3 linked regions of the Alligator mississippiensis genome follow. The protein of the gene in region 2 binds, or shares a complex with, the protein of the main gene of each other region. Links are inferred from orthologs where the notes say so. Each region holds a gene or a part of one and is shown on either strand. Other genes may lie near its edges. The genes, in order: TMEM30A, ATP8B1 and TMEM30B.

Region 1 (6,935 bases), on a different chromosome or scaffold from region 2:
GTGCCACCCCCAGCCCCAGCACACAGTGGCAGCCTGCTCTTGCCTCACTCACAGATCTGGGGGGCAAGTGCTCCACATGCCTCACCCTGCAGGTGCATGGAGCAGCAGAAGCCACTCCCTCCGCCCAAGTCCCCCAGTGGCTGCATGCATGCTGTGGCTATGCGCACGCACAGATTTATAAGTGACATTATTGGCCACAGCAGCCAAAAAAAGCCGATTACCAATAATTTCAATTTTCCTTTTATTGGTAACGATACGATATGGACCGATGTATCAGTGCACCTCTACTACTTAGAATTGTTAAACTCAGTGTAAAGGTTTAAAATGAAGATAACATTTTGGCTACTTGCCAGCTGTATACACAAGCACCACCAAGGGCCCTCCCTAGTATACTTCAGCATTACAGACAGTATCACTGCAAGATGTCCCCTGATGCGAGTAGACCGTTGGTGCATTATTCCAAGCTTGTTTGTAGCCTGTCAGGACATCCACGGTATGAAACACAGAAACATTAACTGTACTGCATTTAGGTAGCAGCTTGACAAAGCATATGTGTATACACATGCTAGCACTGAACTTCTTGTACGTAGGCACGTGGTCTAAATCAACATGTTAAAACAACAAGCATCTTCTCCACTTTCAAAGTTCCCCTAGTATTATAGTTACCCCATAAATCAACTTGCAGATCCCTGGCTAAAAAAAACCCTCCAAAAACCCTATTGAGGACCACATCCTGGCACTGAGATATGGGTGATGGGCCTTACCAGTATCTGGAGGATGGTCAGGCTAGATCAAGCTGCTTAAAAGTCTTCAATAGTGAAGTGTGTCTGTGGGGTACTGACTGTGCTACAAGGGCGATATAGAAAATTAAGGTTGGAAGGGACCTGGCCAAGTTCACAGATGACACCAAGTTATGGGGAAGCGCGATCATGCCTGAAGATAGGCTGCAGATACATGTGGACCTAGACAGGCTGGCAAGTTGGGCGGATCAGAACCAGATGAGGTTTAACATTGGGCAATGTAAAGTGCTTCACCTGGGGACGAACAATCCCCTGCACACCTACAGGCTTGGCAATGCCAATCTGACCAGCACTATGAATGGAAGAGAGCTGGGGGTAATAACTGACCACAGTATGAACAGGAGCCGGCAATACAATTCTGTAGTCACCAGGGCAAATAATACTCTGGCGTGCATCAATCGATACATCTCCAGAAAAACCAAAGAAGTGATTCTTCAGCTCTACTCAGCATTGGTGAGACCGCAGCTGGAGTACTGCATCCAGTTCTGGGCACCGCACTTCAACAAGGACATGGAAAAGCTTGAGAGAGTCCAGAGAAGGGCCACCCGTATGACCTCATATGGCTTGCCATGCAAATCTCTGGTAAGGCTGAGGGACTTGGGTGTCTTCAGCCTAAAAAAGAGAAGGCTGAGAGGGGACTTGGTAGCAGCTTACTGCTACATCAGGGGCATACATCAAAGGCTTAGTGAACAACTGTTCAGCAGGGCACCCTTGGGGAAAACCAGGAGCAATGGTCACAAACTCCTGAAAGGCTGTTTCAGGCTCAAAATTAGGAAAAACTTCTTCACAGCCAAGGTGTCCAGAACATGGAATAAGCTCCCTCCAGAGGTGGCGCAATCACCTTCCCTGGAGATCTTCAAGAGGAGACTGGACAGTCACCTTGCTGGGGTCACTTGACCCCGGTTGTCTTTCTTGCTTGGTGCAGGGAGCTGGGCTCGATGATCTTCTGAGGTCCCTTCCAATCTATGAATCCATGAACCTCAGGAGGTCACCTAGTCCAGCGCTTCTCAACCTGTAGGTTGCAACCCAATAGTGGGTCGCAAGAATATACGAAAGGGTTGTGAGCAAACTTTCAAAATAGAGAAAAATGGAGGAAGCTGTGGTTTCCCTCTTGCAGGCTGCCAGAGCTGCAGCCTGTGAGGGGCTGCTTGGGGCCTCCCTGCCTCGCACACTGGGGGCCTGGGAGTGGGGGGCAGCAGGTCAGGAGTGAGGGGCACTGGGTCAGGACTTGCCACCTATGGTTACAAATATGTCCTGGTACAAAAAAAGGCTGAGAACCACTGGGTCCAACCCTCTGCTCAAAGCAGGACCAGCCCCAACTAGATCATCCCAGCCAAGGCTTTGTCTAGCTGGGTCTTAAAAACCTCCAAGGATGGAGCTTCCACCACCTCTCTGGGTAACCTGTTCCAGTGCTTTACTACCCTCCTTGTGAGACAGTTTTTCCTAATATCCAACCTAAGCTTCCCTTCCTGCAACTTGAAACCACTGCTCCTTATTCTGTTATCTGCCACCACTGAGAACAGTCCAGCTCCATCCTCTTTCAAATCCCACTTCAGGTAGCTGAAGGCTACTATCAAATCCCCTCTTACTCCCGTCTTTTCCAGACAGCTGAACAAGCCCAAGTCCTTCAGCCTCTGCTCACCAGCCCTGCGCCCCGGGCCCCAAACCATTTCGTTGCCCCTCCCACCCCGAGGATTGTCTCCACCTGGGCCGCACCTCCCTGTAGGGAGGCTCAAACCGGCGGCCACACTGCAGGCAGGACCGGACCGGGCCGGGCCGGGCCGGGCCGGGCCGCGGCGGCTTCCCCCGGGTGCACTCCGGAGCCGCCTGCAGGGACAAGGCAGCCCGGCCGGGGACGCACCCAGCCCAGCCCCACAGCGCACCTCGTACTCGCGGATGTTGTTGGAGGTGACAAAGATGCCGATGCCGATGGGGATGAAGACGAGGCCGATGACGAAGAAGGCGGGCAGCACGGTACCCGCCGTCAGGATGGGCTGCCAGGCCGGCAGGCGCTGCTGCTTGAACGCCGTGTTGTCCGGCTTCCGCGTCTTGGCCGCGCCGCCCCCCGTCGCGCCCAGCCCGCCCGACGGGTGCCCATCCGCATCCTCCTTCGCGCTGTAATTCACCGCCATGGCGGGGGCTCGGGGGGCCGCCGCCGCCTCCGCCGCTCGCGCCGGGGAGGGGGGGAGGGGCTGCAACGACACAACAACGTCACCGCCCGCCGTCGCCACGTGATCGGGCCTCGCGCCGTCCTGCGCAAAAGGGGAGAAGCTGGGGCGCGCGCTGATGACGCGCCGTGTCAGGGGAAAGTCAGAGCGCGAGAGGGAGGAGTATTACGCATGCGCAGTCCGGTGGGTGAGACGCGGCCCCGCAGCTGGGGTGGCGCATGCATAGTTGCTCTGCTAGCGTTCTGCAGGCCCGGTCTCTCTAGAGAGCAGCGGGGGAGCTGGGCTAGTGCCCTTGATCGTGGGGCGCTGGCCGGGAGATGTTGCCAGGGGCCGCCCGCCATGACGTGGGAGCCCCAGCCCAGGGCGTGGGGCGGGATGCCACAGGCCTCCCCTTTTCCCTCCTACTCGCTCCACGAGCACCCGCAAAAACCGGAGCTGCCGCACGCTGGCCCGGTTGGGATGGTCTGCGGGTCAGGAGGGGCCCTGGCAGGGCCAGGGGGATGCGTGTTGGGAGTGAGGGGCACCAGCATAGCCTGGGGAGGTGAGGGATTGGGTGGGGAGTGAGGGCCACCATCTGGGCCAGGGGTCTGCGGGTGGGGAGTGAGGTCCCCCCCCCCACAGGTGTCCTCTGTTTTGGAATTGGAAATACGGTAACCCTACTTTATGTGCGATTGCTCACAGCACGTTGTAGCTTTAACACCATTTAATATTCCACAGATTTAGTATGTTCTGTGTATAATGTGTAACTTCACCCAAAGTGAAGGGCAGAAGGGGGTAAATCCTCCCCCCACCTGGTTCCTGGGTCTTCAGTGGACCTGAGTGATTTGTTTTTCTCCTTGGTCTGATGCTTTAAAACAGACCCAATGTAATTTTGGGGGATGAGGAAAGAAGTGAGACAGCAAACAGGCCCTTCTTCCTGCCTTCCCAGTAGCATTATATGTGCCTAAGTAAGATACTGAAGTGGATGAGGTTGAATTTAATTACTATAAGTATCATGGGGATAGTGTTTCTGTAGACTATTTACTTGTTTGCAATTATGCCAGTAAGCACACAAAGGAAAGGGAGAGTTCAGCATACTCTCTGCTTCCGAGGTGTAAAATGGAAGACTGATTATTTTCTTTAACAAGTGTATTTGTATGAAAAGAATATTTCTAGTATAACTTAGGATCATAGGAAAGTAGGGCTGGAAAGGACCTCAAAAGGTCATCTAGTCTAGTCCCCTGTTCAAGGTGGGATCATCCCTGACTAAACCATCTCAGCCAAGTATCTGTCTAAACTGCTTTTGAAAATTTCCAGGGATGGAGAGTCCATAACTTCTGTTCCTGTGCTTGACCACCCTTATAAACAGAAAGTTCTTCCTAATATCCAACCTGAATTTCCTCTGCTGAATGTTGAACTCCTTGCTCCAAGTCCTGTCCCACATAGCCACAGAGAATTATTTTTCTCTGTTCTCTCTATAATGATCCTTTAAGTATTTAAAGACTATCAGAGACTTTCTTTTCCAGAGTAAATTATCCTAGCTCTGTCAGCCATCCCGTGTAAGTCATCCTTTCCAGGCCTCTAATCTTTTTTTGTAGCTCTCCACTGAACTCTCTCCAGTCTGTCTACTACATCTTTCTTGAAGTGCAGGGTCCAAAAGTGGAGAGACTCACTGGAAGGATTACTTCTCTTGATTTGCAAGTGACAACCCTGTTAAAACAAATCAGCCTGCTTTTGGCTCTTTTGCAACAAAAGCACCCTGTTCCCTTATACTTAGTTTATGATCTGTTGTAACCCCAGGTCCTCTTCAGTTCTGCAACCTAGCAAGTCATTCCTCAGTCTGTATTTGTCATGCAGTTATTCCATCCTAAGTGCACCACTTTGCATTTGTCCTTATTGAATTTCAGCTGATTGATTGTGGGCATTTTCTCCACGTTTTCCAGGTCATTCTAGATTCTGGCACTACCCTACAGAATGTCTTCAACTTCACTCAACTTAGTGTCATCTGCAAATTTCTAAGTATATATTCAATTCTTTCATCCAAATCATTAAGAAAATGTTCAACAATACCCGAGCCAGGACAGATTCCCAAGGAACCCCACTTGATACCTCCTCCAAACGAGATATTGAGTCATTGATGACTGTTCATTGAACACGATGCAACTAGTTATATATCCACATTACAGTGCTTTCATCTTGTCTGTATTTCCTCAGTTTGGTTTGTTAATGAGAATGCTGTGGCAGACCAGGTCACAGGTCAAGGTATATCACATCTACTGCTTTCCACTTCCATAGAACTTGTCACCCTATCATAGATGCAAATCTGGTTGGTCTGACACAACTTGCTTTTAGTGAATCAATTCTGGCAGTTTCTGATCACCTTGTTCTTCTCTAGGTGCTTCAAAATAAATTCCTTGAGGGCCTGTTCCATGATCTTTCCAGGTGTCAAGGCCAGAATGGTCTCTAGTTCCATCTGTCACTATTCTTTCTCCCAAAGTACTCAAAAGCAGAAGGTAATTACATAGCTACTATATTTAATTTTTATATTTTGAATAGAGGGCCAAGATACTACCAGTTTGATGTGTATCGGTTTTTACAGTATTGTAAATTACACTGGAATCCAGAGCAGACAGGCAAGGATCCTGAAGCAGCCACTGCAGTAAACACTTTTAAAGCACCTCAACACTAATTGATGAGGCACATATAATAAGCTGTTTGCAATGATTGAATGACTACCTAAGATAACTGCAAACACAACACCTCCACCTGTATGTATTTTTACTACCATTTTTCTCCAGGGTAACTACACTAGATTCTAACATGTTTTACATTGTTAAGGGTTTATACTAGTACAAAAACAGTTTCCTCTAGTGTGAACATGTAATGCATTCAGGCCCTCAATATTCAAATATGGATGAGACTATTTTAAAGATTTAGGCAGCAACTTTAATTCACAGGGTAAAATTCACTTGTCATCTGAAATGGGATACATTTCGAGCAGATGGCATTTGTTATCTTACAAAATATACTATACATCTGCGTGCCAGTCAAATATTACAAGCTTAACGTGTATGGAAAACCTCAACAACATACATTTTATTGCATTTAGGTTACAGCCAGTGAAATATGTCTCCCAATTATATGGATACTACAGTTCCATTCAAAATATTTTAAAAAGTAAATACATGAAAATAAATCCTAGCTGCATTTCTGATAAAAACAAAAACAAAAAACAAAAATACTTTAACTGTTTAAAGTTCTACAAATTGTGTCTTTGGTAGGGGTTAGGGGAAGTTCTTACAGCAAGCACAATATTTTTTGCCATAAGCAAAATATATCAGAATGCTGTTAAATTTCAACAAGTAAAATACACTTTCTATATCAGCTGAGGCTTTCAGACAGCACAACAGGAAGTTAAAAGCAGTGTTAAAACCAGAAAAAACATTGTGATAGGGTTGCTGTGTTCACTGAGATAACTGCCAGTTTCATTACAGATTAGATTAAAGCCATTTTTAATCTAGGTGGTGATTCATTCACAAATAAGGTCAGAAGGCTGTGGAACACGCTTTCAATATCTTCTATTATGTAAGCTACAGCATCACTGTGAGGGTTTAGCAAAACAACTAAACAAGAAAGCTTTTTCCAGTACAGCCAAAACCTAGCAGGGTTCATTCTTCATAAGAAAAATGAAATTGATTGTATCCATTCTAGATGCTGTAACTGGCATTTTCGTCTTTTCCTTACAGGCTGCCATATCATGACACTTTATACCCACTTAAAATGAATTCACTTCATATAAAGTTTATACAAAACAAACAAATATTAGAATTTCATGGAAGCAAACAGTCGCATAAAATAGCTTAAAAATGCTGTCAGAAAGATACACGCTATATAGGTAGCAGCATATCCTACCATTCTGTTGGTGTGAAATGTGGTGCAGAATATAAATTGTGGTATTAAAATATCCTGTTTCTTATTACTGAGAAAA
Region 2 (6,920 bases):
ACCATATTTATCAGATATCAGGAGCAGGGTTAAACCTTGACAAACATTCTCTAAAAAATAAATAAATAAATCCAGTTTCAGGTAGACTCCAAACTACATAAAACTCAAGTCAAATTCACCACATAGATATGGATGAATAAAAATTATTTTGGAATTGTTGATGCAGTTCACTTTGATACGTCTGAAACAAACTATTCTGATTTTAAGATTAAATTAATGAAAGAGAGAGGTCCCCCATTCATACAGGAGAGAGAGAAAGAGAGAGAGAGAGAGATGATGCTAGAGGGGCCTTCAGTAACTCCAGATCAGTGTTTGGACACTTGGTTATGGAAGATGTGAATTAAAAGCTCCTTTTGGCCTGATTCAGAGCAGGGATTTGAACTGAAGCCTCTTACCTCCCAAAAGAATACTGCACAGTAGCCATGAAGTTTCAGGGTATTCTGGGGTGGGTTTCTCCAGTTTTTCCTGTTGAAGCCATTCCCCTCTATACTATATACTTGAATATTCCTCAGGCCACTGAACTCTCTGGCCTGATGGATAAGTTATTCACCTGGCAAGGTGAACACCTGGTTTTCCAGTCCCTGATCCAATGAATAAGTATGTTAATAATAAGTATAATGACATCAACTGGAAAGCTAGGAGTTTTTCACTTAAAATCTCTGTTCTGAATCACATACAGAGGGGCTTGAACTAGGTGGGTGTCCTAACCACTGGGTTAAGAAAGGCACAGCAAGACCATAACCAGTAACCACTACCTCCCTTTTCCTCGTCAACTCCTTTATTTTTTTTTTCCCAGACACACAAAAAATGTCAATGTTTAGGGTCAATGGAAATATTTCACCTAAGCAAGAATGAGCAATTTCAGTTCACCAAATAAAAATGAAATATTTTCATTTCATGCTGATTCAAAACAAAAATCCATTCCCATTTTCTAGTTCAGCCACTAAACAAACAGGTAAGTAAATGCTAAGCAATTATTCACACAGCCTTAATCTAAGTTGTGGCTTATTTTCCATTCCTTTGATCACCAGAACAGACAAGCAATATGCACCAACTTGTTAGCAAATATTCCTAAAATATACTGAGCAGCGCTATGAATTAGTGCTCAATTTCCATTTCTACAATACTTATATTGTAAGTTCTTTAATGTAGCACCTCTGTGCATGTACAGTATGCCGCTACATAGTCACTGCTCAAATATACTACTAACAAAAACTATAGAGCAAAAAATAATTAACCATACTACATTTCTGAGTAGAGGCAAAAGACAAAATATTTCTTGAATCAGACTGAAAACAAAAGTGCTTTTATACGTCTTTCTGCAGTGGCTATTTTTGAAAGGTATGACAGTCAGAAATTTTTCCTGCACATTTTTGTTATGAAAAAAAAAGGAAAGCTTTATATTGAACAAAATAATTTAAGCATAATTTAAGCATTAACTCAAAATATTCATGATTCCCTGTAGAGAAAGAAAAGGGACCAGTCCCCTCTCTGTATAGTTAAGATCTATATGCTCTAGAGCTGCTGCCTTCTGTTAAGTCATTGCTTTTTTATTACTGGAGAGATGGAAATTTCTGCTGTTACAAGAGCTTTTTTCCTTGTCATATTAAAGAACATTGTGCCTGGTCCGACTCATGAACTACTCTCTGATCAGAATTACAGTGTATTTTACCAGTCAAAATAAAAGTGTTGTGCTGTTTTGTTTTAAGATTAAACCATGCCATTTGATGTTGCACAATCAAATGTAGGTGCCCACCTAGTCCCTCCAAGAACTGTTGATATGCGGACCGCAGACAAATATTAAGGCTTCAGGTAAACATAAATCTGTGCACCACAAGGCACTGAGAGTAATTTCCAGATCTTGCCATTAGTGCTAGAAGGCAAACAAGTGAATGAATTCCCATCTGCCTTTCTCCAACTCAGATCCTCTCTATTATTTTGAGAAAGATGAGGATTTAAAAATAATAATAATAAAAAAAAACACTTGGCAATCCTCCCCTTGCCTATTCCCTACAACAGCTTTGTCAAGAGATGGGTGCAACATGCTTTTTGAGCAAGTTAATGTTTACCTTACAGCGCAGTCATTCTGAAAATGAATCACTGGGCATTTTAACAGGCAAGTATCGCTGAGAGCACAATGAGGAAACTAGCAAATACCTCTTACACTGGGGGCCCGGGAGGAGTGCGAGATGTTTAGCTTGGTACATGGAAGAAGCTCCATCGGTAAGGGACATGGTTAGCTGCCTTAGTATGAAGTCTAGCAGGAGACAGGGTAGTTTTTTTGGGTGTTTTTTTTTTAAATGTCATGTCCGGGGCCAAGTCAGCACCGAAGTCTATCTATGGAGAGCCCTCAATCATTCAGCTCTGTGTGGCGCTACCAGGGGCAAGCATCCTCCCCCCAGACTCTTCAGCCTGGGGCTGCAGCTACTCCCAAACCCAGGGCAGGCTTCCTAGGCGCAAGCCCCGGCCCGGAAGCCTTGGCGCTCACACGCGCCCGAGCCTCGCTAGCCCAAAGGAGCGAGGTGAAGGGCACACGCAGCCCGACCCCCGTCGCCATGAGCTGTGGGGCCCACAGCCTTGCGCCGGGCGCATTCCAGATGTGGCGGATTCGCACCTTAGAGACTAACCAAAGCAGAGCGCGAGCCAGAGGCAGCACACACGCGTTTCCATGTGCACTGAGCAGCTCTCTCCCCTGGGCGCTGGGCTGCTCTCCCGGCCACCCAGGAAGAGCGCAGACCGTGGGCAGGCGCTTGCTCGGCCTGGCCAAGGGGGCTTGTGCCCGACAGCTTGCAGAGAGGAACGTGTCCAGCTCTGTGCCTTGGTCCAAAACCGAGACCGCGCTGCGCCCACCAGCCTTGTCCGGGAGCTGAGGCTCGTCTCCCCCGGGGAGGCGCAGGGGAGCTGCTGCTGCTCAGGCTGCAAGGTGCCTCCCGCCCCGGCCCACAGGTGCGCTGCCCGCGCTGCCCTCACCTGGCCCGGCTCGGCTCGGCTCGGCTCGGCTCCCCGCGGCGGGGCTGGGCCGCGCTCAGGGGCAGCGGCGCGGCCGCATGGCTGGGACCGGCCCGACGAGTTCCCAGGTCGGCGGCGCTGCCCCGCGCCAGGTGTGCTCCGCTCCGCTCCGCTCCGCCCGCCCGCAGCGCCGCCCCTCGCCCGCCCGCCCGCCCGCGTGACGCCAGGTAGCGGGGACTCCCCGCTCGCCTCCGCCTCCAGCACAGCACGGGACGGGACAGGAGGCAGAGCCGTGGCGGTGCTTCCCCAGCCCCGCAGCACGGCCCGGGAGGCTCCAGGCATCGGATATCAAGCTCCAAGGAGACTGCTGAGAGTCACCCGGGAGAAAATCAAGAATCAGTGTTTCACCCGACGTATGCAGTAGTCCAGTGGGGTTTTTTTGCTTAAAAAAATAATGTGCTAGTCCCGTGCATTTGATGTAAAGGCATCATATCAGCGTCATTATGGCGTGTGAATAGATTCAGAGTTGGCGGGGCCCGGTTCCTCGGGCTGGAGGTGTCCGCGGGTGGGGATGCGAGCCCTTTCCTTGTCCTTCTGCGGGCTCGTCGCCAGGGCAGAACAAAACAGACTGCTGCTTGGTCAAGGTTGCGGGCCTTGCGGCCTCGACTAGCAGCACCTTGGGCAGATCCAGGGGTCAGAGCCATCCCCAGGGGTGTGTGGGGCCCAGGGCATATCAGGCCGTGCAGGGCCAGGGGGTAGCAAGTGTAGCGGGGAAGGGAGGCGAGCAGCTGGAGCATGGTGAGGCGGGGGAGCAAGCAGCTGGAGCGTGGCGCCAACGGTGCACAGCAACCACAGTGAGACCTGTATGTCACTGTTCACAGGGCCCCCCCAAAGCGTGGGGCCCAAGGCAGTCACCCTGATTCACACCCCCCCCCCCTCCTCCAGGGACAGCCGGGGTGCATGTACTCACACCCAGGGTTCAGTTGCGCTTTGATTCTTGGGGGGGTCTGCCAAAAAAGTTGGGCTGCCCATCACTATGCTATAATTAAATCCCCTGGAATGAAGTGAAGGAGCAATACAATAGGAGACCCCCCCCAGCTATGATTTTCAAATCTTGCAAGGCGGCTTTTGTCTGTTATGAGGGGGCTCAGCCCCCCGAGTTCCCCACGTAATTCAAACCCAGCTCGCACCCCCTCCTTTGATTCATGCTCTACCCACAGTTTAAAACCAGCTGCTTGGAAGCAGCAGCAGCATTTCTAGTCGGGCAGTGCTGGGGAAGTCACTTGACTTCAGGGCTCATTATTATCTATCGGCTTCCTTCTAGACTCCTCATTCCACAGGTGTTAGCAACCCTGTTCTCTTCTGTGTAATGGGCTTGAGGTTTACCTGGTCCAGCCAGCTTCCTTCTCGCCACGCACTGCTCCTGGGAATGGAGTTCCTGTTTCCCAGTCCTGCAGGTTTTCTACTCCTTCCAATTAGGTTATATTAGTTTTTTCCTTCAATCTTAAACTGAATAATACAGACCCAGGCCCCTAGCATGAAAGCTTCTAGTTTCTTTTCAACTGGAGAAAAGTGTGTGTTGTTCTGTATGTGATGATGCATCACACCATCTGCACCCCTAGTTTCAAATCTGCCCATGCATGCCTGTCCTGAACTGCGGTATGCCTGATCTAGTGACCACAGGGCAGCTACATGGGGGAACTACTCTGCTAAACTACACTGCGAAACGGCACAGAACGAGGGCTTACAGAAAATAGATAAAGGGCAGAAAGTGCAAAAATGAAGTTTATTTCCTACCTATGGGGACTTTTTACCATCTTGTACCATCTACACTTTTCCCAGAGCCTGACGAAGGGACTTTGATCCCGAAAGCTCGCAGAAAAGGACAATTTTCTTGCCATTTTCCAGTTGGTCTAATAAAAGATATCATTTTGGAACCAAGAGTTCTAGTTTTTTGTATGATAAAGAGCAGATGCACACAATTAGGAGCCCATTTCTCACAGAATAACCAATCCCTCTCTGCTCTCACTATGCTCCTGCTCAAGGGAAATCTAACACCCTTTTAAAGGCTAACTTGGGAACAAAAATGTAACTTTTGTTCCCAAGTTTTATGGCACATTATATTTTACCTGACTCCTGATTTTTTTTTCCCCACACCTGAAAGGTAAGAATGACCCTCCTCCCTTTTAATTGATCTTGATCTTCCAGGAATCAGCTTCTTTTCTTCTGTTAATTGTGAGTCTGCTACCCCTGGGAATTTCTCTCACCCCCTCCCACTACTTTTCTTTACTATGCTGGGCCTGGCTCATGACAGAATGCCTTACATTTGAAAGCTTGTCTAACTTGATCCCAAAAGAGGATATCACCTTAAGAAACCCATGCCTCTTTCATAACCCATGAGGAAAGAAGTGACTTGAAGAATGTCTTGTGTTTGAAAGCTTGTCTATCTCTAACCCAGCTCTGCAATTGGTCCAGTAAAAGATATTGCCCACAGAAATCCTTGTCTCCTGAAAGAAGTGAAGAGTTTTTTTCAAGCTTGTTCAATTCTGCTCTGGCATGAAACATGAACCAAGGGTCACCTCTGTGTCGTAGTGGGCCCAAACCTGTGTTGGGTCAGGGAAAATTGTGTCCTTTCCCCTTGGAAATGCAATGTTTTCAAATGGTTTGGGCCAAAAGCAGCCTATGGAGGGCACTTGGAATACACTGTTTTACTTTGGGGACCTCGTTATTAGCCTCTGTTACTGGTGCTAGCAAATTGAACCTTAAAGGTGGCCTGGAAATGCAGAGGAGTTTTGCTTCTTTCAGCTAGATACAGGAGCATGAGCTGATTATTTTTTCAAAGAATAATATATTTTCCTACCTGTTTTTTCAACGTAGAATATCAGGAAGTCAAGTCCTGTTCTTAGTGTTTTTTCCACAAAACACTCAAAAATGTGCGTTGTGAGTTCTCAGCCCAACGGAGGAATGGCTGTATCTTAATAGTTACTTCAGTTCAATAGGGATCAAAATAATACTCAAGAAGCATGTCTACATGTTATACCACGGCAATGTAGCGATGCACTACGCTGCCATACAGCGTGCTACAGAGATGTAGCCATCACATGGGTCTACATTGTTTTGGCAACATAGCAAGGAAATCTAAGCATGCAGCACCCGCACGGTGCAGTAATTGCACCATGCCAGGAACATGTAGACATGCCCGAAGAGACTCAAGCAGCCTGACTTTTTAACTCTCACTTGAAAATGTAATATTGTGTGTTAATATTACAAATATTAAAATGCTTAAAATAAATAAAAAAAGAAATATGAAAAAATGGCACACTTCTGCTGCTTTTGCCTGCAGCACACCAGGAATCACTGGTGTTTAATAGTTTCTAGGGTTGGAAGGGACCTGAACAGATCATGAAGTCTGACCCCTTGCTCTGGGCAGGAAAGAGTGCTGGGATCATAATACCCCAGCCAGATATCTATCCAACTTCCTCTTGAAGACCGCCAGTAGGTGAGAGCACCACCTCCCTTGGGAGCTCATTCCAGAGCCTGGCAGCCCTAACCGTAAAGTAATGCTTCCTGATATCAAGCCTGAACCTGCTCAGGCAGTGTAGACACCTTAAATGGGAGAGGACATGAACTTAATTCTTATGACTATTTACTCTACTCATTATAATCTGCCATAATACATCACTGCCCGGAACAGTGACAAAGATGAATGGTGCAGCTTATACATACCTCCATGGACGCTTTGGTGGGATAGAGAAAGAGCCAAGTGTCTGGGTCATCTTCTCAAGTGGACAAAGTGGTGTCTTTGTTGTAAGACCATACAGAAATCAAGTGCAGTCACTGCAGTCATTTTTATAATATTATTAATTTTTTAGTTGAACTGTGAACAAGCTCATATTTCACACTGATATTTTTGTTTTAAAATCTGTGGCAGGGCACTGTTGGTGCCTACCACTTTAAGGGCAGTCAGGTAG
Region 3 (5,806 bases), on a different chromosome or scaffold from region 2:
TTAAGATCATTTTACACTCCCTATCTAAATTTCTACAAAAATTAAGGGAACTAAAGTATTATTGTAATTCAAGACAGCTAACAACTTATCTCAAGTATGATTCAAATGACACTGATGTGGAGGTCAGCACTTTGGTCTTGCTATGCATACTCATTTAAATATTGCTTTTATTGGTTTGAAGGCACTGATATGCTAAGAGCCATAAAGGCTAGTGAGACCTAAAAAAATTTGAAGACTTGTAAATGGAATTGGAAGATTTTAAAAGCTATTATGATGTTTGTAGCACAAACTCCAGGCAATTATGCAAATGAATAACCCATGACTACTCCTTTTCATGTAACAATGAAAACAACATATTAAGTTTCACTTGTAGCGAAAAAATGTTTAAAGAAACACAGAAGTTCAGAATAGAAAGCAGTAAACGAGGAACAGCATTGTATGAAGTTCTTTCAGGCATAAGAAATAAGTCTGGGTCATTAGAAATGTGGGTAGTAGAGAAGAGTTTTAGCTCAACAGTAACCTGTTAGGCACATAATATTCTCTTATCACATTATGAACCACGAGTTCAGCCATTCTAACCAGGTCTGGATGTTTCTTGGTTTTCTATTAGGGAAAAAAAAGTATTTTAATTTAATCTGTCACAAAACAAAAAAAGGCCTAGTTCTTCTTTTCAGAGCACTCCCCATGAGGTCAGAATTATACCACGCATGGTGACTAGCTGCAATTTAATTCCTCCCCACAACTTCTATGCCCAGCAGCATTAGGACCTCCAGCTTTCTCTAATCCTCATCCATCTGGTTTTGCTGTTGGTACTTGATATGCACAGCCAGCATGACAAAACCAGTGAGGATGCAAGCCGAGCCAAAGACCAGGTAGGCAATGCCCAGGAAGGGGTTCTTGCCGCCCATCCAGGAGACTGTACTGAGAATGACCTTCTTGGTGCCCTTGAAGGGGAGGACAGGGTAGCTGTAATTGATGTCGAGGCGGTAGGTTCCACGGGGCAGGCCAGCGGAGAAGTTGCCCTGGTGGACACGGCGGTAGAGCTTGCGGAAGGTGGGCAGGGCGGCGGTGCGCATCCACACGATGAAGTCCTCGTTGACGAAGCCTGTGTTGTTGGGGTTGCCAGCATCCAGCAGGTAGGCGGCACAGGGCCAGTTGGGGGGCTTGGACGTGCCCCAGAAGGCGGTGGCCAGGCTGCCGTTCACCAGCTCCGGGTTGCGGAACTTGACGTTGGAGTCGGTCCACCAGGAGATGCCCCGGCTGTCCAGGGGCACCGGCATGAAGGACCCGTTGACCAGGCGGTGGAGGGCGAAGGTGTCGTTGAAGAGGCTGTTGGCAACGGCGCCGCAGGGGGCCACGGCCTGGCCCCGCGGGTCCCGCCGGTAGGGCCAGCACTCCTCGGCTGGGTGCCGCAGCCCCCAGGGGTCCCCGCTGAGCTGCAGGTCGTCGCGGGACACACCGTAGCGCCGGTGGTTCTGGTAGTAGTTGGACAGCTGGTAGTACAGGCACACCGGCCCCGGGAAGGGCTCGGCCAGTTCAAAGTGCAGGGTGCAGAGGCACGGGCCGGAGGTGGCGCTGGCATTGGTGCAGCGGGCGCAGTCCTGGTTGCTGCCCAGGGCGCCCGTGTAGTCCAGCTCCAGCTCGCGGATGGTGCCCGAGGAGAAGTGCAGCCCCAGCCCCACGGCCAGCCCGGCCAGGCCCAGCGTGAAGAAGAGCGGCAGCGCGATGCCCGCCGACAGCAGCGGCTGCCAGGCCGGGAGTCGCTGCTGCGTGAAGGCCGTGCGGTCCGGCCGCCCCCGCTCCCGCCGCGCCGCCGCCATCGCCGCCCCGCCCCGGCGGCCGCAGGTGCTCCTGGCCCCGCCCCGCCGAGCTGAGCCCTCCCCCTGCGCTCCAGACCCGGCGGCTCCAGGCTCGGGCATGTCGGGGCCTGCGGTCTGGGAGGCGCTTCCGCGAGGCCAGGGCCGGGCTGTGACCGCGGGCGGAAGCTCACACCTGCACAACGGAGCAGCCCTGTCCCAGCGGCAGCGCAGCACTTGGGGCCCCTCGTGCCAGGCAGCCGGGGCGGGGAAGCCGCGCTGGGGCTGCACGTGCCTCGCCCCTGTCCAGCGCCAGATGCTCGTAGGGACGCGTGACCCGGTGGCTCCGTGCGACCGCAGCCACTGGCGGGCTGTGCTCAAGCCATTTGATTGTGAAGCAGCAGTGGGCACTGATGTGGCACGAGGGTAATGTGGAGGTGTGTACGCCAGCAGCCAGACATAAGTCCACTAGTGTGGCAGTGGCTGTGCCTCAGAGAGTCTGACAGTCTCTTTCCCAAGTGTGTCCAATGATGTTCTTGACTTCAGTCTTCACAAAATACAGTTAAAATGCCATCCGTTCACCAGCTCTGAATTGTTGTTCGGCTGGTTCCATAATTATACCATGTCACCATGTCCTTAGGCAGCTGCCAAGTGCCTCTTACATGCCTTTGCAGTGTGATCATGGGGGGCAAACACAAGGAAGCATATCCCCAACAGGCACATGTTCATTAAACACAAAATCCAAATCTCTTGATTACTTATTGGTTCCTGTTTCTAGTGTTGCTGTTTCTAGTTACTCTGTATTTCTCAGGCTATTATTTATTACAAGAGGCTGTGACACCACCATTTACAACGGTGAGAACACTATAGTTTTCTGACTCCAGCAGCACTGTACCAAGGCCAGAGAGAAGACAGAATAGAGATGTACCTTATACACTAAATCTTAGATACATAAAGATGCCACAGAGCCGTTTAACCTAGGCCCTATCTGTACCTGTGCTAGTTTTTTTTGTAAAAATTCCATGCTGCAGACAAGAGAAGCAAGAAAAAAAATCACATTATCTCCTACAACAAACTCCTTCCCTTTGGGGACTCCCTGGGTTGTGTACAAGAAACACACAGCCAGGACAGTAACTCTGCTACACTTTGACACTTACTAAGTAAGCTAACTACTTTCAAAATAAGACTTAACTTGGGGTACTGATTGTCCTCTGCCAATCTATTTAGCCATTTTGAAAAAAAACTCCAGCAATACAGATGCTGCTAGCTGCATTTTCATACATCTTTGCCAATTCTGAATATACTAAGAACCAGTGTGTTTACATCCCGCGAGAAGCACTAGAATTTGTCACCCAACATGCATCAATGGGCACAAAATCACTTGCACAATTTCTAAAGATTTTTTTCTTTATCCATAGTTGTTTTGTTAATAAATTAGCAAAGTTCCTGTGCAATGTAGAAACAAGGGGACTGTGTGTGTCATTTCCAGGAATGGGTAAGTCCTTTTGTTTTCCTCTATCAGCTAATCTCACAGTACAAAGTAGGAATCTCCAAGGACATGCTTCAACAAACAGCAGTAATCATTTTCTGTTATTTTTGAGCTAACAGAACAGTAATACAAATTCTACCTCCTCTCCCTACTCTCTCCTACACAACAGCTTCTTTTTAGTGAATAAAGAAAATAGTTAAAAACAAAGGAGAATGTTTGAAAGGTAATATTAGTATTAAAACAACTCTGTTTTGTACTTAAGTTTCTGTGATTTTGCTGCAAACCTCTTACATTTAAGGAGCTATAACTTAACTGTAACAAATTCTGTGTGAACTGAAAGCTGGAATCCAAAGACTTAACCTGGAAAGAAAAAAAAACCTGCTTATTCTTTATAACAGTATTGTCTTAAAAATAAATAATTCAGTTTCTTAATCTATGGGTCACTGTGTGTGAAATTAATCTATTTGCAAATAGCATGAGAACTGGGAGGTAGTGTGGGCATAGTAGGTACAGATTGGACTGGGACTTGTATCTGGGTTGTGTTCCTGGACCTTGTCTGTTAGGTGACCATGGACAAACCATTTACATTCCCATGTGCCTCTGTTTCCCCATCTGTAATATGCAGATACTGATATTAACCTCCTAAAGTGCTTTGAAACCTGCTGATAGAATGATAGCTAAGGGGTAGGTATTGTATTATTATCATCATCCTCACTTACACCATTTATATGCAATATTGCCACTTCCAAACATTCAAAGATCAGACCCCAAAACAATCAGAAGAAGGAATAATAATCTTGAGTTTTTTTAAATAATAAAGTGTGGGATTTTGTTTTGTTTCTAGTTGTCTTCTGGCTCTTGAGACTCGGGTTCCCGAGTCTCAAGGCCTCATTTTCATTTTTCATTTTTTCTTTGCAATCCTAGGAACTGGAAATGTAGTGTTTTTCTCTGAAAAATTGAAGCATGGTTTTTCCTTGAAAGCAGACACTGTCATGCAATATCCTGGTTTCAGGAGCTGGAGCATTAACAAGCAAACCATATATTGCAAAATTTAAAACTGCAGAAATTGGCAAAACTGAATGGCCTTTGAGCTTGCCCTTTGTACAGGACTGAATTTCTCACTCTAGGGTTTTACCATAATGCAGGCATGTCAGAAATATAGCTTGTAAGCCAGATCATCTGGCCCATAGTTCTGTTCCTAGGTCCAGAGTTGACCCAAACACTGCATGTGACACACACCAGACCAGCCGCATAGACAGGGCCTCAGATGCATACCACACACAGTTCCTGTTCCATCCAGTTTGCACATGGTACCCACCCTAGCCAGTCTGGTATACTGCATGCACTGGTTCTGGCATGGGGTGGCGGGGGAGAGTCACTGGGCCTGATCCAGCCTGCAGAGCCAGCTCCACACCATGCATCCAGCCCATGGACCAGCCCTGTACCACTCAACCAGCCCATGGAGCCAAATGTGTTTAACACAACTGTCATAATGAAAGAGGATATGTCCAGAAAAAGAACATTGTTTCTTTAGACCAACATCTCATCCTTGTAAACTGTCCATTAGATGCACTGAAAGTGTTTCAGAAGGATGGATGCTTCTCTACCTCCTGTGATAAGCCATGGCAGGTAGGTGCTAATTGATAAATTCCAAGAAGACAAATTCAGCAGAACTTGGTTATAATGGAGTGCAATTTCAATAAAAAGAAAGGAGTATTTGTATCACAAAAAGGTGAAAATCCAATTGAAATACACTGAAGCAATAAAAGATTTTTATTCCATATGACTAAAGACAAGTGCCGAACACATGGGTTTCACTGTATAAACATCTAAATATAAAACCAAAAACAACTAGTTGCTTTCATATAACTTCTTGTCCACATGTATTTCAAACTGTATCTTTGATTTCTTATATGCCTGCTTTATTCTGAAGTTAGAAAGGCAGGTGTGGTGCCTTCTCAGCAAAGAAGATACGAAAAATCCAGGAGAGGCTCCATAAGGAAATAGACAAAAGCACAGAAAAAGGAAAAAGTGAGAAGGTTGAGGGGAGAAGAGAGAGTGGTCTTGCTTACCTAGAGAAGGAGTTGTTACTCAATAAGAGTGTCTACGTGTGGACATAAGGAATAGTGAATGAAGAATAACTCCATGAGTAGACAAGCTCTAACTATATTTTAAAAAATTAAACAGACTAGGAAGGTATGTAATGGAAAAAATCAAACAAATGAGAGACAAGAAGAAAAGGAGAAAGGAACAGAAAAGGATGGAAATAAGAGAAATAATAGATGGAAGTATGAATGTAGAAAGACAAAATAAGGTTTTTATTTATATTTCAGTAATGCCTGGAGACCCCAACCAAGCTGGGCCCCTTTATCCTAGTACTATCTCAACACATATTGAGAAACAGTTCTTGTTCCAAAGAGCTTAAACAAAAGCACCTAGAAGTGAAGTAATTAAGCCAAATGTCAAAATGAGGTCAGTGGCAAAACTGAAACTAGAACCTGGTCTTTTTGGCTAGGTACAA

The links.
Region 1: the proteins of ATP8B1 (region 2) and TMEM30A are in contact, whole or in part, in a cryo-EM structure (PDB 7VGI), measured with the Homo sapiens proteins. The link is inferred for Alligator mississippiensis from reciprocal best matches to the Homo sapiens genes ATP8B1 and TMEM30A. Residues at the interface, in NP_001361314.1 of Homo sapiens: Thr138, His359, Trp362, Glu363, Val366, Ser369, Ser370, Trp371, Tyr372, Leu373, Tyr374, Asp375, Gly376, Arg384, Ile388, Phe418, Asn420, Trp421, Asp422, Leu423, Tyr426, Lys430, Asp431, Thr432, Pro433, His939, Trp942, Arg946, Tyr968, Phe971; in NP_060717.1 of Homo sapiens: Lys24, Thr25, Arg26, Arg27, Pro28, Asn30, Phe33, Lys34, Gln35, Gln36, Arg37, Leu38, Pro39, Ala40, Trp41, Gln42, Pro43, Ile44, Leu45, Thr46, Ala47, Val50, Phe54, Ile57, Phe61, Ile64, Ile68, Ile75, Phe119, Tyr121.
Region 3: the proteins of ATP8B1 (region 2) and TMEM30B are in contact, whole or in part, in a cryo-EM structure (PDB 7VGH), measured with the Homo sapiens proteins. The link is inferred for Alligator mississippiensis from reciprocal best matches to the Homo sapiens genes ATP8B1 and TMEM30B. Residues at the interface, in NP_001361314.1 of Homo sapiens: Trp362, Val366, Ser369, Ser370, Trp371, Tyr372, Leu373, Tyr374, Asp375, Gly376, Phe418, Trp421, Asp422, Leu423, Tyr426, Asp431, Pro433, His939, Trp942, Arg946, Tyr968, Phe971, Asn972, Gly973, Ser975, Ala976, Gln977, Leu1003, Gln1005, Phe1049; in NP_001017970.1 of Homo sapiens: Gly9, Ala10, His11, Gln12, Pro13, Asn15, Phe18, Thr19, Gln20, Gln21, Arg22, Leu23, Pro24, Ala25, Trp26, Gln27, Pro28, Leu30, Ser31, Ala32, Ala35, Leu38, Phe39, Phe46, Leu49, Leu53, Tyr109, Tyr111, Asn116, Phe117.

What each region holds. Positions count from the first base shown.
Region 1 is NC_081824.1:65,532,764-65,539,698, forward strand, and holds the start of TMEM30A (cell cycle control protein 50A), read right to left. Parts: upstream 3,003-6,935; 5' UTR 2,933-3,002; coding exon 2,684-2,932; intron 1-2,683. UniProt on the Homo sapiens protein: Accessory component of a P4-ATPase flippase complex which catalyzes the hydrolysis of ATP coupled to the transport of aminophospholipids from the outer to the inner leaflet of various membranes and ensures the maintenance of asymmetric distribution of phospholipids.
Region 2 is NC_081826.1:283,465,993-283,472,912, reverse strand, and holds the start of ATP8B1 (phospholipid-transporting ATPase IC), read right to left. Parts: upstream 3,092-6,920; 5' UTR 2,971-3,091; intron 1-2,970. UniProt on the Homo sapiens protein: Catalytic component of a P4-ATPase flippase complex which catalyzes the hydrolysis of ATP coupled to the transport of phospholipids, in particular phosphatidylcholines (PC), from the outer to the inner leaflet of the plasma membrane.
Region 3 is NC_081833.1:43,879,758-43,885,563, forward strand, and holds TMEM30B (cell cycle control protein 50B), read right to left. Parts: upstream 1,844-5,806; 5' UTR 1,821-1,843; coding exon 780-1,820; 3' UTR 604-779; downstream 1-603. UniProt on the Homo sapiens protein: Accessory component of a P4-ATPase flippase complex which catalyzes the hydrolysis of ATP coupled to the transport of aminophospholipids from the outer to the inner leaflet of various membranes and ensures the maintenance of asymmetric distribution of phospholipids.